Linked DNA regions of Bombyx mori. Each later gene encodes a partner of the first gene's protein in a complex. Links are inferred from orthologs where the notes say so. Each region holds a gene or a part of one and is shown on either strand. Other genes may lie near its edges.

Region 1 (3,793 bases):
TATGTTGATGAAATAGATTGACTTAGGACTGTCACGCGCAGACACCAATTGCCCAAAATATTAGAACAATTGCTAATGTTAAAGTTATATTTAGCCTATGTACCTATTTGTATGCTATGTAACGATTCACTTTATAGATATAATGAGAAAAGATTTTACTTCGTAATTTTTCGGAAAAGTTTTATTTAAGTTTTACCTGTACTTCATATCGGAAAATAGCAAATTCAAAAACAGCAACAACTCAAGAGTATTTTGACAAAGTTCAACAGCGAATTTCAAACGCAACTAGACCAACAATAAGAATATTTTGAACCAGGAGGAAGAATACAGAAATAATAAAAATACCAACACAAACAAAATTAAGATGGGTAGACCATGCATGAAAATCTATCTAGATCTTGATGATTTTGATTATGCAGTGATACGACGAATGGTTTATAGCTTTCATCTCATTTATAAACAAGTCCCTACAATAAAAGCACTAAAGCCCAAATAAATAGAAACGATGAATTTCAAAGAATGTGATTTTACACTACTGGGTTTTTTATTGAAGAAAATTGCTAATAATAGGAAAATGCTGATGGAAAAGATGACGTTAGACTTAAAAGAGTAAAGTACGTAGACTTAATAAGGAAGTATAGATCTGAAGGCAGATATTGTGTATAATACTGACGAAACTTATGTCCACACATCCCGAACATAACAATTATTACTTAAAAATATCGGGAATTCATTTCGTATAATACCCTAGTAAATATCCTGTTTTAAGTAATAATTGTTATGGTTGCAGCATCTCTATATTATACAATGTCATTTTGACATTTGAGACTAAACAATAAAGTTCCTTATTAATGGATATGAAAATGTCACTCATTTAATACGATCATTCATTGACAGTTCGGGTGTCATCGTATTCCGATAAAGATCAAGAGTTTTCCCGAAGGAAAATAGTTTCTCACTACATCTATACTTGTATGTTTAATATACTGTTTACTGTCAAATAGTTTGAAAAGTATGAAAAACGGGACAACTTTTTGCATTTAAATATTGAAAATATAAAATTTTGTGGTAATTTCAATTAGAAGTAAAAAATGCTGTTTGTAATATTTCGAAAAAACTCAGATAATTAGCTAGAATAGCAGATCATTAGTTAGTTAAATTTCATAATGATATTTACAAAGCATTTTAATAAATGTCATTTTTTCCAACAAGATTTTAGTGTTTTGTATAACGTTTACATGATAAAAATTCTATAGAACTAAGAACAGTTCCGAAAACTTGTACCCCATTATTGTTCGGTTGTAGCAGAGTTATCTCACAGATTAACGATTAAAAAGTGAATGTTAAACAATGTTGTTATTTCACACTCTCCACAGAGCACATGAGTCGTACAGACAGGACGACTAGCCGTGGTTGACGTTGACGGCCGACTCTAACTCCGACGCCGGCGTCTCCGGCTCCTCGTCGTTGTAGATGTTCTCAGCCATCTGCCACACCTGTACAGATACCGCACCGAATCAATGTACAACAAATACCAAATATATATTTTTTTTCTACCTATTCTAAGAAGCTACCACCAAGTCTGAACCGCGACTGAAAAGATCCGGCGAGAAACTCAGTGAGTCGCAAGCGACGGGTTCGACAAGAACGATGACCGGTGCTTGGGGTACCTAAAAGCACTGTTAGAAGGATCCGAGATGATGTGCCGAAATATTTATCAAATAGCCTAGATTTGTAGTTTTTTTTTTTTTTTTTATGGCATATATATGTGGACGAGCTCTACAAAGTAAATGCGTCACCCACTTTAAGATACAAGTTCTAAGGTCTCAGTATAGTTACAACGGCTGTCCCACCCTTCAAACCGAAACGCATTACTGCTTCACGGCAGAAATAGGCAGGGTGGTGGTGCCTACCCACGTGTACTCACAAGAAGTTCTAACACCAATAAATAATTATGTGCTAGGGAGAAATTATATTTTAGCAAAGCAATTATATTTTATGCATTAAGATCAACTATAATATTAATGTTTTCTGACAGCTTTCTCCCAAAAGGTGCCTATCTAAGCTAAAAACATTCAACCTATAATTTTAGCATACCTGCATAATGTTATCCTCAGAGACGGAACAGATGACCCATGGTTCATTAGGGTTCCATGAGAAGTCAGATATCTTAGCGGTGTGTCCTCCATGTATGAACAATAATTCTGGGGGTCCATCTTCTGCATCTTCAGCTGTCTGTTCCTCGCCAATCTTTGACAAGTCCCATACATGGAGTCTAAAAAAACAAGTAATGAAGTAACTTTCATAATAATTATTGTCTCGTACAGCAATCAGCAAACCCAGTTCTTGAGTATTGTGCATTTTCCCAAATTTAAAGCGTAAAAATTAGATGTACATGTTTACGATTTTTAAAATCAGCCCAAAAAGTGGCTGTAAGCCCACAAGAAGTCTGAGCTTTTATATTTACTTTGCAACTTCAATTCCATATCTGTTTTTTTTATGGGTGTTGATTTTATTTTACCTACCGTTTAATACTATTATTTTGAGAGTTCTTGTCTGTACACAAGATGTAACAAAAAGTTTGAAAATTCAATTATCTGTAATTTTACCTTCGGTCGGTACCACTGCTCGCGAGAATAGTTTCGTTGTGTGGCGACCATTGTACTTGGAATATTTCGTCTTTGTGCGACTCGAACGAGTGTAGCTTTAATTTCAAATTGCGTAGATCCCAAAGCGCAACCTAGACGGAAATTATATTTATAGTTATAGTAGTTAACCTATTATTAAGGATAGGCTATTTATTATTTAGTTTATTATGATATTAAAACTGTAGTTTCATTTTTCAGTGTATCATGAGCTGATTGAATTCAAAGCTTGTGAACACAAGTTTCGTTAAATTACAAAAAATTGATATATAAATATTACAATTAAATAATAAGCAAAACGCTATGGAAGTTTTGACTTGTTAGATGTGTATATTTGAATTAAAATTAGTAACATTACCGTTTTATCCGCACTGCCAGTAGCAAGAATGAACTCTGAATAGGGATTGAAACTGAGGCAGTTAACTTCAGCGGTGTGTGCGTCCACTGTGTGAGATGGTTTCGATGTATTATTACATCTGTAATTACAACATAATTGTGCTCTATTTTACTAATTATTACTACCATATATGCATACCTCATTATTACACTTAAACGAAATGTGTCATTATATCATAAAAAAATAATTAAAGGTAATTATTAACAAGTAATGAAGGTCAATACCAAATACAAGTTATCTGCAGAAATATGTGAAAACAACCTCCTGTTTGTGTTATCATGCCATGATAGGAAAAGCACTTTCATATTCAAACTAATGATTTTATTATCATGATTGTCTTAAATAGGTCTCTTAGTTAATAAGTATTGTACAATTCACAATTACATAATCAGTATGTCTTGATCTTGTCTCATTTATAATGTTTTATATTTACAATTGTAACTTTTCAAATGGTAGGCTGTGGCTGGGCTCTGCCCCACGCGTTGCCGACGTTCGTGAGCGACAGTAACCACTCACCATCAGGTGGGCCGTATGCTCGTCTGCCTACAAGGGGCAATAAAAAAGAACCTCAAAAAGTTAGTTGTTGGTGTTACCTGGTGTCCCATATCATCAGTTTCTGGTCGTCAGCCACGGATCCGAAGAGCGACTCGTGTAGCAAGTGCCACGCGACGTCCTCGACGACGGCCGTGTGGCCGGTGAACACGGACTTCGCTTCGATGACCCGCCCCTCCTTTGGCGTCGCGTTGATGTC
Region 2 (3,765 bases), about 6.6 Mb from region 1:
CCACATAAATGAGGTCGTCATTATATGTTAGAATTGTATAATTTCTAAACGCATCTTTATGTTAATACCAACTGACAGCTGTCACTCGTCTAATATGTGTCAACGTCATTCGTGTGCTCGCCCCTTTTTCTTCTAGCGCCGTCAATGAGTACTGACACAAAAAGTGTATCTCCGTTAAAATAAAAACTATCCATGAAAATCTGCATCTTTATTATAAGAAACCCAGACGATCACTCCAACATTATAATATGCAACAATAACATATTATTATATTAAATTAAACAATTTTACGGTAGGAGTGCCTCTCGTTGTCACAGCAAGACTGAAGTATACCAACTTTAAAACGCTAAATGAACAGACTGACTACATATCAGAATCAGTGGTTTAAATTATGATACCACTGTCTTTTTTTAATCTTTTTTAAACTCGCAGTTTCACATTCATTTTAATTTTACTATCACATTTATTTATTTTAGGAAAATAATTGAAAAAAATCTGATTCATATAAATGATTATTGCAACGAGTTAATTACTATGTAATTTGATAATTAATTTTTAGTTTACCTCGTAACATTCACAATAATTCTTGAGGCATCCACTTCGTTTACAGTTGCAGCCCTTGTTATGCCGCCTTATGATGTCCGGCCCGCCGATTTTTGCTTTCCCGATTTTCGGCCTGTGAAACTTGCTTTAAATATTTCATTTAATAAAAAACAAACAGTAAATTAAGCTGTAACAATTTTGGTGACTACTTTTTTTTATTGCTGACTTGCTGACCCGGCAGACTTCGTAGTGCCTCAATCGATAAATAAAAGACCTATACTTTTGTATAAAACAAAGTTAGAACAAACAAAAGGAATCCGTCCGATGGGGGGACATCAAAGGAAAAACAAAATTGTTATTTTTATTTAATTTCGAGCATTTTCATATTTATTTTAAGTCTTTTTTAAACCTTTTCTGGACTTCCACAAATCATTCAAGACCAAAATTAGCCAAATCGGTCAACCGTTCTCAAGTTTTGGCGAGACTAACGAACAGCAATTTATTTTTATATATATAGATGTGTATAGACGAGCTCACGGCTCACCTGACGTTAAGTGGTCACCGAAGCCCATAGACATACGCACGTAAATGCGTGAGTTCTAAGGTCTCCGTTTTTGCAGCACAACGGCTGCCCCACCCTTCAAACCGAAACTTATTACTGCTTCACGGCAGAAATAGGCAAGGTGATGGTACCTACCCGTGGGGACTCACAAGACGGCTTACCACCAGAACACTTTAAATTATTAGTAACAATAAAATTTTACTGCTGGTAAAAAAATATTAATGATATTTACAAAAAAAAACTTACCTAAACGCATTAGGATTCCTCTCTAAGCACGCCCTGATGGCTTTCTGCCTTAACGCTTCATTTTCTAAATTATTATGACAATTATTGCAGTTGCATTGATTGCAAAACTCCCCGTTCGCGAAACAGTCGCAGTACAACTTGAGGCACTGAGACTTTGTACAATTACACGCCTTCCTTGGCCGAAGACCTAGTTCCGTGGCCCCCACGTCTACAATGAACGTTAAGAGAATTAATTATTTTCCAATTTGTTACTGGATCGCATGCATACATAGACAGACATGTCGTTAAGCAATTTTTTGTTTGCTCAATCTCTAATATATGTATTGTTGGATGTTTTTGATGAACTTTTTTGGATATTTTTATTTGCGGGTAGATTGCCGCTGCCTATAAATGTTCGAAAAGGTTCGTGGCGCTCCGTTCTATTTTATTGTTAGATTACTTCCTTTAATTTAAGCTAAATTGTCATTGTTTTGTACTTAGAAAGTAGGATCTGATAAGTCTGTCTACTTTTGGATCACTACTGGATACTTGTAGGACAGTGTTATTCATAAAGCGTTGGAATGTTTGTGGCGCATTCCGCAAACCAAATGTCATTTTAGGAAATTCAAAAAGACCGAAAGGCGTTATTATGGCAGTCTTTTCAATATCTTCAGGAGCAACATCAATACAATGAAATGCTCTATTGATATCTAATTTTGAAAATATCTTTTTATCAGCCAAAATATAAGTAAAATCATGCAGTCGAGGAATAGGGTATCTGTCAGGTTTTGTAATAGCGTTCAGTTGACGATAATCACCACATGGTCTTAAGTCTCCATTTTTCTTGGGGACAATATGTAACGGGCTAGCCCAAGCACTTTTAGAAGGCCGACAAATACCCAATTCCTGCATGATCCGAAATTCCTCCTTAATTATTTTATATCTCTCAGGTGCCAGTGGTCGAGCACGAGCATGCACCGGTGGACCAGTAGTTTCAATATAATGCAAAACGTTATGAGAACTTACTTCCTTAAATGACGCTGGTTTCGTAATGTCGGGGTACAGCGCTAACAAATCACGATATGGATGACTCACATCAACAGTATGCAATGAAGGTTGATTGCTAACAACAATACAAGCTAATAAATTCAGATCTGTTACCTTATCGATAAGCTTACGTTCACCCATATCAACCAAAAGATTGTTAGAAGTTAAAAAGTCCGCCCCTAATATAGCCTGTTTAACATCTGCAAGCACGAAGTTCCATCGGAAAGCGCGACGTAGCTTCAAATCTAGCACTAACGTTTTTTCACCAAATGTTGCAATTTCAGTTCCATTGGCTGCATATAACTTATAGTTAGGATTTTTGATAAATTTACTTATTTTAGGCACCGGTAAAACTGAAATATTAGCACCTGTGTCCACCAAAAAATTTAGTCCACTATTGTAGTCCATCACACACAAACGGCGGCATCCTAAAATGGTACTAGCTTCCGCCCGCGACCGTACCACGCCTAGTTTTCCGAACTTGGTTTCCATGCACATGGTTGGACGCATTTCTGAGCATTCTGACGGAACTTGTAATGGTAGTAACATAACCAGTTGGGGTTCTGTGGGGTACGGCGTCTCGATGAAGATCGTGAGCCACTTCTATCACGGTTACGATCAAAGTAGTTTTGTCTGGATCGTGACTGCTCCATGTTAGTCATTCTGACGCTTAATTTTGCTATTTCCGCTAAAATTAAAGACGTGTCGCTTGTTGATGGTCGTTCCATATTCGAGGTTTGTTGATTAACGACCTCAGAGATGTGGTTAACTCGCGTGGCCTCCGCAACATTATCCGCAATCATGGCGAGGTTGTCTAAATCTTTTGTTTCAGTGACTGTAAGGATTGCCCTCAATGTTGTAGGTAAGTGACCTTGCCATAACACTCGCAGGGTGTCGTCCGGTACTTTATCTCTGGCTAACTCTCTCATGCGGCGCAATAGCTGAGAAGGTTTTTGATCTCCTAGTTCCATCTCTCCTATGAGTCTTTCAATTTGTCGACTTTTGGACTCCTCAAATGTTGATAATAATTTCGTTTTTAGCGCCAGAAATTTTCCTGTGTCCGGTGGCTTAGCTAGAAAATCTGTTAGTTGAATAATGACTTCTTTTGGTAGTTTCGATACGACAATGTCGAATTTAACTTCATCCCCAAGTTTCTGTGGGGCGAGTATAGACTCGATCCTAATGTACCATGCTCTTGGTTGCTCTGTCCAAAATTCTGGTATACGTGTCGATAGCGAGATCGCCATAATGTCCGCTGAAGTCTGCGACAATGCTAGTTGAGTTGCCGGAACTCCTGGTGTCGTCATTATTAATCACAATTTTCGTTTCATATAAATCACGTCGGGGTCACCACTTTTGGATCACTACTGTAGATGTTGTTACCAATT
Region 3 (4,988 bases), on another chromosome or scaffold:
GTCTTTTTTTATTTAAATATTAGTTTTTTTTTAAATATTAGATTTTTTATAGATTTTATCGGATGATCACTACTAAAATCTGCTCAAGATTAACCCTGACTGGTAATAGTGACATTGGAATCAAATACACTGACCACTAATGAAACGTTAACCATGATCATTAATTAAAGTAATTTTTTCTCGTTTCAGAGAAGCTGCCGACCCAGCAGGCACTGCAGGCGGTCCAAGACTTTTTAGCCTGTGGAGTTGAAAATAACTTATTGACTGAAGACTACCACGTCGTTGGTCACCAGCAGTTGATAAACACGCTAAGTCCTGGAGCTGTACTGCAATCAGAAATCGAAAGTTGGCCCCATTGGCTTGATAATGCTCGAAAAGTACTGGGTTAATATTTTATTTACACAACGAATAGATCGAGTATTACTATAATCGGACTTTATATTACAATGAATAAAATTAATTGAGTAAATATTCTGTTTCGTTATTTAGTTATGAATCTGAAATGTTTGAATACATGAATTTCAAAAGCCGTATAGAGACTTGGCTTGGCTTTGCCGCTGGTGTAGATAATACACATAAATTAGAGATAAGAAACTCAGCATTCAACAAAAATGTTTACAGGCGTCGGCCACTAGATGGCTTCGCTTCGATTAGTTTCTAGTATATTTCCTTTTCTCAAGCATTCAACAAAAATGTTTACGGGCGTCGGCCACTGGATGACTTCGCTTCGATTAGTTTCTAGTATATTTTATTTCTAATGAAGGATTTTGTAAATTTTCAGAAACCACAATTTGATAAAATTTAATCAATTTGTCTATAACAAATAATGATGTATTAACTTTTTATTTTCTGTGTTTAGTCACACAATAATTAAATGCCTTAACTTTAACAATATACATATAAGCTTAGGGGCATCTGCTACAAGATGTCGCTAGTTTCCATACAAAAAATATTTGTCTTAAAGTATCACAATTTCGGGGCCCTGGCCGCTGGCATTGTTGACGTTGACGAGCGACGATAACCACTTATCCTCAGTTGAGCCGTATACTCGTCTGCCTAGAAGGGCAATATTATAAAACTCAAGATACTATTAGTTATATCTGTGTGAAACGTAGAAGTTAAGAAATATTTTTTAAAGAATTATAGACCGTAACACAATAATCGTAACGAATATCATCGTGTCGTCCGTGACTACTAAAACAGTAAAGTAGGTATTCGAACCGACGAAACAAATAAAATGAAAATACTATGTAAAAACGAGATTTGAAGACAAAATAAGTTTTATTTTAAAATAACGCCATCTAGTGTTTCAATATTAAATTAGGACCAAGTGTTGGGGTCGAGTTCATAACGTTGCATTTAAAACGAACACCAAGACACATTTTATTACCACCAAGACAAATTATTATAAAGAACAGTCTATAATAGGTAATTGGAGCCAGCTATCATTTTTTAACAAATTTATTTACTTTATCGCAATTGAATTTCGATAAAAATTCAAACTACGACCTTACGTTTCATGGTACATAATAATATTATTATGATGCGTGGGCACCAAGAATTATGCTTTAATACTTATCTTTATTTAGTTGAGTAGGTCCTGTAGTTTATTGTAAAAATGAACTGAGTTCTGTATAATTTATATAGATGGCGCTAACCTAAGTTAGGTAACTCATACTTGAGCAACCATGAAAATTTGATATTCCCTATTCTTTTGCTACAGCTGTGAAAATGAAACCAGTGGTAATTTTCTCTGGATTTAGTAAACTATGTTTAGTATCTACTAAATGTTGTATATGAAAGTGAAACACGTTTGAAGACTAGGCAAAAACGCGAGAGGTTATGTTTTTGTGAAAGTTCGTTAATTAGTATACATATTTAGTTTTGTTTCGTTTCGTTAGCTTAGTATTTCTTCTGATTTAAATTTGTTATAATGATGTCTTCATAACCGCTTTAACATCTGTGAAAATGTAGAGGCAGGAAAACAAAGAAAAACTTTGGACAACTTTTCGTTTTCCTACAAAAGTATTTGATAGAATTTACAGAATATTAACTTAAATTCCCACCATATTATTGAAACAATATTTAATTTCATTCCATTATCAATTTTACATTAATTAATAATTAACAATCATTTAATTCAAGTTTGTTACATTTTTCATTATTAGACATGACTTTGACTATTAAAAACATTGGGCACATTTATAAAAATTGGGCAGTATACTGTAATACCTTCGCCTTTCTCGTTTTGGAATCGTTGACATTTTTCTTTGGATTGACGTTTTAACATGTGTTGCTATGAAAAAAGTATTATTCAAATTTCTTTTAATTACGATCCTATGCTTTACACATGTCACCGTGTTTGCTTAAAGTTTGTTTATAACAGAAATTGTGTGGAAAGTAAGAAGCGTCTATAATTGAAGCAATAATGCTTTTCGGTTTGAAGGGCGAGGTAGCCTTTGTAACTGTAGTGAGACCTTAGAACTTATATCTCAAAGTGGGTGGCGCATTTATGTTGTAGATATCTATGGACTCCAGTAACCACTTAACACCAGGTGGGCTATGAGTTGATCCACCCATCTAAGCTATAAAAAAATAAACTAAAGAAATGTTTAAAAACATTCACTATCATATCATTCGTTTATGGCGTTAGCTAGTAATTTTTATCCTATATTTCTATGGATTATTAAAGAATGCCTATAAGGACACGGTCCATTGCATTTAAAGGGAGGGAGGGACCGTTATTCAAGGATCCACAGTCCAGAAAATTGTCGAATAGTTAAGGACTTATATTTGTTGCTTGTTCTATAAGTTTTGTTTCTATAAATGTCTGATCCTAGTATTTGTGACAAAAATGGCGCGGGCAAGTTAAAATTGAAAATATCAATTGTACCAGATTTATATGAGGGATAATTTTCATTTACATTCATTTGATGCACTAATAGAAAAGGGAAGAAAGAATTATCAAACTCTTTAACAGAACCCTTCACAAAATTTGCAATATAAATTACAAAGAAAATTAAAATCTCGCAATACTGCCACGAACATATAAAGCACAAGTTTGGTGTTTTGAATAAAAATAATGAACTTCAAAAAGTTTAAGTAAAAACTAAATTTAACATTAGGATATTTGGTTGAAACTTCTCTCGTCTTCAATTTCATTAGTTTTAAAATATTAAATTTCACATCTAGCTTATAGTTTTTTTAAGATTACGTTTATCTGAATCATACGTGTGTCCACACAAAGATACTTTTAACAACTTTGACAGTCCTGTAAACTACTAAAATGAATTTAACACTGCCGAAAATTACGTAACAAATTTCGTATTCTTTTTACAGCTTACCTTGGTAACCCGTAGTGGACTAAAATGTCACTTTCACGTTGCGTTTGTGCCGCAGCTGTTCCGGTTTGCCGGTCGATAGCAAGACGATTGTGCGCTGTTAAAGAACCGACACGTGTAACTTGTTCAATTAATTCGACTGCCACACTAAAAACTCAAGTAAGGATGTACATCGTAGAAGAAAGAGGATCACCTTACACTCCTGACTATCGTGTATTCTTCAGTAAGTCTGATAGTGAGAATAATAGATAAAGATAAAATAGTACTCGAGTCGAGTGTGTCGCGTGTCTGAACATAAACTCTCTTAATCATAGTCATATTATAGTTTTAAGTGTTTGAACTTTGAAGTTCGAGGTAATTGTTTTTAAATCAAGTTCAACCAGAGTTTGTTGAAATTGGTTCTTAGTAATGAACTCCGTTTAGAATTCACACAATGTTTATTAGGAGATTTAATATCTATTTCGTTGTTTTAAATTTTTACAGCAATTATCACAATAAGACCTTTAGACTTTAGAAAACTCTCAAGCAATATTTGTTGTTACACAAGTCACCATAATAAAACCCAACAGTAAAATTTTATATTGCTAACATGATAGTGCTACATGAAATTCGGGTTTTTGATTTTAGACTTTTCATTTATTTATAGTTTGTAAATAATATTGATTTATTTTTCTAAACTTAAACTATAATTTGTACAAAAGTAAGGTAAAAAAGAAGAACCGTCAGAAACTACTAAAACTTATATTTTCACTGTACGGTAATAATAAATTTTGTTTATTTATAATAATTGAATAAAAAAATAAAGATGAATACAGTTTAAAACAATGTTTTATAGGCAAACTGAATTCAATTCAATTCATTCATTGAAACAAAAGTCAACTTAACCAGCTGAACTGACTTAGCATATTAATCTCATTTCATAACTGCTAGTATGTAATTCAACAAAAAACAAATTACTTTTATTATGACAACAATTTTATATATTAAATAATTATTTTTTTATATTTCATGTGTAGAATATTTTCCATATTTTTTACCAAAGCACAGGATAGAAATTTAAAACAATAGTAAAATTTGTTTTAATAATAAAATTGATAGTGTAGTTGATAAACCTCGGGTGGTAGCTTTCACCTCAAAATAAACGCAATGTGAAAGCTGCTACTTTATTCCTGATGTTGAATTATATTAAAATAATCTCTTTCTTGCTCTTCAAAACGATTGCAGAAAAAGGATAGGCTACTATAGGATATTACTACTAATACAAGTAAATGCCTACCACAAAGAAATTGGATTCATAACTTGTTTATTCCAAAACAAAGTCCAAAGTAACGGTTATTATTGATAATTAGCTGATGTTATCATACTGTATGAATATGTAAATTATGAAGTGGTTATTTACATAAAAAATCTTAAGATCTTGCTGATAAGCGGTAAGCATAAAATTGAATTAAAATTGAAAATATTTTTTTTACTTAAATAGGCCTTCACAGGTGTTTAAAAATTATAAATATATTCATATTATATTAATACTGATTCATTTATTATGCCTTCCTAAGTATATTTGTTATCTTTCATGGTCCTGTTTGGCTCATTCCCTAAATTCTACTTTATGAAGTTATATTCAGTGTTCATTCGGAAGTCTGAACT
Region 4 (4,308 bases), on another chromosome or scaffold:
ATTAATGCATAGTGCAGAATTTATTTCCATTTATTCGAATCCAGCTATATTACATACTCAAATGAATGGTTTCACGTCTTTAGCAGTGGTAGTAATTGCCATTACCGATGTTCACAGCCAACCTGGTGTTAAGTGGTTACCGGAGCCCATAAACATCTACAACGTAAATGCGCCACCCACCTTGAGATATAAGTTCTAAAATCTCAGTATAGTTATAACGACTACCCCACCCTTCAAACCGAAACGCATTGCTGCTTCACGGTAGAAATAGGCGGAGTGGAACCTACCCATTAGGACTCACAAGAGGTCCCTACCACCAGTAATGTTAAGTACATATCTCATTAGACAAATTAATTGGTACATGTTAGGGCAGTTTGAACACCAGCACAGACTCATCGCTCGATACCAGTACTTCTTGTCCTTTAGGTCACGAAGACTTAAAATATATCTTTAAAGCATTATAAATCATTTGTTTATTTCAATGGCGTAGCCGCTATACGATCTCGGGAACCACCTGGTGTTCAACTATTAATAAACTTTCTGTTACGACGATCACAATGCGAGCAATATTTCTTATTTCACGAGAGCATTGAAAATAACGGCTATCTTATTCGATTTGATGTGTGTACGATGATGTTTTAAGTCAGCGGTCGGGGAACCGGGGCAAATTACCCCAAATAGGGTAAAATTAAATTTTGGAGGGTAAAAATGAAACTTTTGTGAGTAAAAAGTATATATTGAAGTGAATCTTCTTTAGAAACGTTAAATTTTTAGTTATTGTTTTCTTTTTAAAATTATCATGGGGGCTATAATATGAAAGATACTAAAAAGAAGCGATTACTTTCTTTTTGTTCTTCGCCATGGGGTAATATTAACTTACACAAAAATATTTTGGGGTAATAATAAAAAAGTTTCCCCGATCGCTGTTTTACGTGATGTGTGTACGTACGTTTAAGATCGTCCTTGATCTGCAAGGGTTCCTTGTCGAGTCGCGGACGCTTGCGCTGCGGCGCGCGGTAGGCTCGGTTGTCGCGTCGCCCGTCGCCCTCGTCCTCGGAGTCCGACAGCTCGCCGTCGTTAGCGATGCGCTTGTCCTGTTTTGCGTATCACATTCAAATCTTGTTACTACAAAATCTTGCTTGGTCGCAATGTCGCACACCACTTAGAGCAGACTGTAGAAATATCTTACAGTAAATTGGGGGGAATAGAGACTAAAGTTCGAATAGGGACAAATCTGGGATGTCACAATACTTTTGTTGAGTTGAGTTAGATTTAACTTTGTTGAACTGAAAATTACTTTTATTTAGTTTTTTTAGAATATTAAATAGTTTAATTTAGTCATCATAGTTTTTTAACTCATTAAAGATATTAAAAATTAATTACCTAAAGTTAGGTACCTACCTAACAGCTTAATAGTGCCAGCCCTATCGAAAAACTGTATTGTCCCCATACGTAATATGATTCACCCCAAAGCCAAGGTGAATGGGGTCAAGCTAGTTTTTTCAGATTTTGTGTATATTTTGTTATGAACTATGTATAATAACTCATCACAAATTTAAGCCTCCGGAACCATTTTAATCTCAATTTTATTGGTATTAACCCTAAGAAAAACCATTGAAAACTTGTGCTGGATTTGGAAAGGGTCCCGATTCCCCCAATCTACGGTACTGTTACAAATGCAGCACGCGGCAACGAGATCTATCTCTTAACCACGAAAAGCACTCACAAATAGTGGAAACAAAAATAACGAAAACATATTGTATCGTGCGAGGAACGTTTAGTGAATTGTAAAGCTCATTCGAACTCGATACTGATATTGGATTTAAGAACCGAATTGAAACCAACGAAAATAAATACAGTAAAAAGTTACAAGGGATTCAAAGGGAATTTTGCAAAATAATATTAATGAAAAAGAGTGAATACTTGTGCATATTAGATACTAGTGAGTTTGGAATAACATTCTGCAAATTTTTTTGAGATTTTAACTATCTGTAATTTTGATATTTAACTGAATAAATGTGTTATGGGTTTATTCTTGTTCAATATTTTATCCTCAAAGCCATGTATAACAAAACTAATTAGTTCACCCAAATAAATAATTAATATTTTTACTAAATATTTAAACGCATATTTAAAATTGGGCTTACTGGAAAACACTGTGTGATTAAATCCACTTTTAAATCATACCTTATCACTCTGTGGTAATCTCTCATCTTTGTCTATTTTATCTTCATCATCTGACTCATCATTGACAGCATCTTCAGGTATGGCTTGCACCTAGAGGAATAAAGAATTTTAGTGATGTTTTAAAAAGTAAACAACGTAAAAAAATATGCCTACAAAAAAAATTACAAAATACAAAACTACTTTATTTTCAAAAGCGAGTTAAAATAATACAATGATTGGGGTCTCCTTTTAAGCGTGCAAGCCTGTACTAAGAGACCCCGCTTACGAATCTTGCTTATTATTTGATTGATTATTATTATTGGACAAGAAAAACTTAGGTAACAACTGAAAAAGTACTAGAGAGATAGATGTATCTATTCCGAACATCCTACCACATGGCGTTTGCAGCAGCGGCGAAATATCGGAAACACGTTAAAACTAACAATCGTAATCAGAACTTTATCTAGTCATGTAGTAATTTGGAAAACACTTACTTGTACTCCTGGCGCATGTGGGAGCATTCTGAGATTCTCGAACAGTCTATTTTTTATCTTTTCCAGATATTCGGGTGTGTTTTGATTGGACATGTTACTTGGTGATATGTGTAGTTTGAAATCGGGCCCAAAGTACTCAAAGTAGTCATTATATGGTAGTTCATTGGCTATTTCCACACCAAGTGCAACAGATGTCTCGTAAGTCCAACAGCGAGATACATTACGTATGGTATATCTGTGAAATTTATTACACATGAAGCAATGAAAAGATGGTTAAAGAAAATAGTCTAGTTGTTGTGAAAAAATTAAGAGATTACATTATTTTGACCTAGTAATTTAAATATCTTAAGTAGTAAAGATAATGATTCAGTTTCTATCTAAAAGTGAAACATAGTCTTATATTTAAAACAACTTACCCGCCTCCGCCGACTAGTAAGAATGGAAGTCCAAACCTCTTGACAAGTTCTACACAGCGTCCATGACCTCGAACAGTCAAGTTGAAACAACCCAATCTGTCACCTTGTATAATAAAAATAGGTATTTTAGTTACAGTAATTAACTAAATTTTTATTATTTAGTTATTAATTGGTATGAGTGATTTTACGACATTCAGAATCAATTCAATTTCATAAAAAATTAGATTAAGCAAATAGCTTGGACAAATAAAAAGTGACACAAGAGTTATAAAGTTAGAGTTATTATAGTTACCTGTCAGAGAATCAGCACCACACTGTAGTACTACAGCACTTGGTTGGAATGTCTCCATAACTTTAGATATAATGGGAACAAAGATAGACTCATATGACTCATCATCCATTCCATCACGAAGGGGTATATTTACAGCATAGTATTTGCCTTTACCAGCACCAATGTCCCGCAAATCACCTGTAATATTATGATAATCAATTATTGCCATATATAAAATCTTTATAGGAAAACCCCAAGATGAGATGAGATATCTTCGAGATAATTTAATTTTTTTCTCCCAGTAGCAGTTTTTAAATGAGTCATATTACTCTTTTGTTAGATCAGAAAAATGTACAATCATTGTAAAATTGTGTACACACCTTTTAGATGTAGAGTGTACAGTCAGCGCTGTATGTACAAGGTAACAAATGCAGTGCTGCAATTACTTATCTTTCTCAGTTTCATGTGATAAAAAGGTACAAATATCTTTGTGCTAATCATTCAATATTACTCAAATAAACTTTAATGTTTTGAACAAGTTTAAATAGAAATAAGTAATGTAATCACCTGTTCCAGGAAAATATTCTCCATATTTATGAAAGGAAACGGTCATTACTCTGTCCGTGGTGTAGAAAGCTTCTTCAACACCATCACCATGATGCACATCTATGTCAATATATAGTACTCTTTGATGGTATTTCAGCAACTCCAATATGCCAAGAACAATGTCATTAACATAACAGAAACCTGACGCTTCAGACTTCTTTGCATGATGGAGGCCACCACCCCAGTTTATGCATATTTCTGAGGCCTAAAACAATTTATTTTTTTTATTTTTTATTAGGCTCACAATACACATCACAAGCTAAAGATACATAAAAAACACAAATAAAAAAAAAACAAAATCTGGCTTGCAACATAAGTTATGTGCGCACGACAAAACTATAAAGTGCTGAATTTG

The links.
Region 2: chromatin assembly factor 1 p55 subunit (region 1) and protein lin-54 homolog share a complex: the UniProt entries of both Drosophila melanogaster proteins name them as parts of the DREAM complex. The link is inferred for Bombyx mori from reciprocal best matches to the Drosophila melanogaster genes Caf1-55 and mip120.
Region 3: chromatin assembly factor 1 p55 subunit (region 1) and uncharacterized protein LOC101741235 share a complex: the UniProt entries of both Drosophila melanogaster proteins name them as parts of the NURF complex. The link is inferred for Bombyx mori from reciprocal best matches to the Drosophila melanogaster genes Caf1-55 and Nurf-38.
Region 4: chromatin assembly factor 1 p55 subunit (region 1) and histone deacetylase HDAC1 share a complex: the UniProt entries of both Drosophila melanogaster proteins name them as parts of the DREAM complex. The link is inferred for Bombyx mori from reciprocal best matches to the Drosophila melanogaster genes Caf1-55 and HDAC1.

Annotation. Positions count from the first base shown.
Region 1 is NC_085109.1:4,082,580-4,086,372, reverse strand, and holds part of chromatin assembly factor 1 p55 subunit, read right to left. Parts: coding exon 3,636-3,793; intron 3,122-3,635; coding exon 3,004-3,121; intron 2,741-3,003; coding exon 2,610-2,740; intron 2,276-2,609; coding exon 2,098-2,275; intron 1,497-2,097; coding exon 1,404-1,496; 3' UTR 1-1,403. UniProt on the Drosophila melanogaster protein: Core histone-binding subunit that may target chromatin assembly factors, chromatin remodeling factors and histone deacetylases to their histone substrates in a manner that is regulated by nucleosomal DNA.
Region 2 is NC_085109.1:10,695,511-10,699,275, forward strand, and holds part of protein lin-54 homolog, read right to left. Parts: intron 1,560-3,765; coding exon 1,352-1,559; intron 689-1,351; coding exon 565-688; intron 1-564. UniProt on the Drosophila melanogaster protein: Component of the DREAM complex, a multiprotein complex that can both act as a transcription activator or repressor depending on the context. In follicle cells, the complex plays a central role in the site-specific DNA replication at the chorion loci.
Region 3 is NC_085115.1:3,629,985-3,634,972, reverse strand, and holds the start of uncharacterized protein LOC101741235, read left to right. Parts: upstream 1-1,803; 5' UTR 1,804-1,839; intron 1,840-3,203; exon of another isoform or gene 3,204-3,339; 5' UTR 3,340-3,368; coding exon 3,369-3,564; intron 3,565-4,988. UniProt on the Drosophila melanogaster protein: Component of NURF (nucleosome remodeling factor), a complex which catalyzes ATP-dependent nucleosome sliding and facilitates transcription of chromatin.
Region 4 is NC_085117.1:13,607,379-13,611,686, forward strand, and holds part of histone deacetylase HDAC1, read right to left. Parts: intron 4,159-4,308; coding exon 3,915-4,158; intron 3,546-3,914; coding exon 3,369-3,545; intron 3,180-3,368; coding exon 3,077-3,179; intron 2,896-3,076; coding exon 2,661-2,895; intron 2,278-2,660; coding exon 2,188-2,277; intron 1,095-2,187; coding exon 950-1,094; intron 1-949. UniProt on the Drosophila melanogaster protein: Catalyzes the deacetylation of lysine residues on the N-terminal part of the core histones (H2A, H2B, H3 and H4).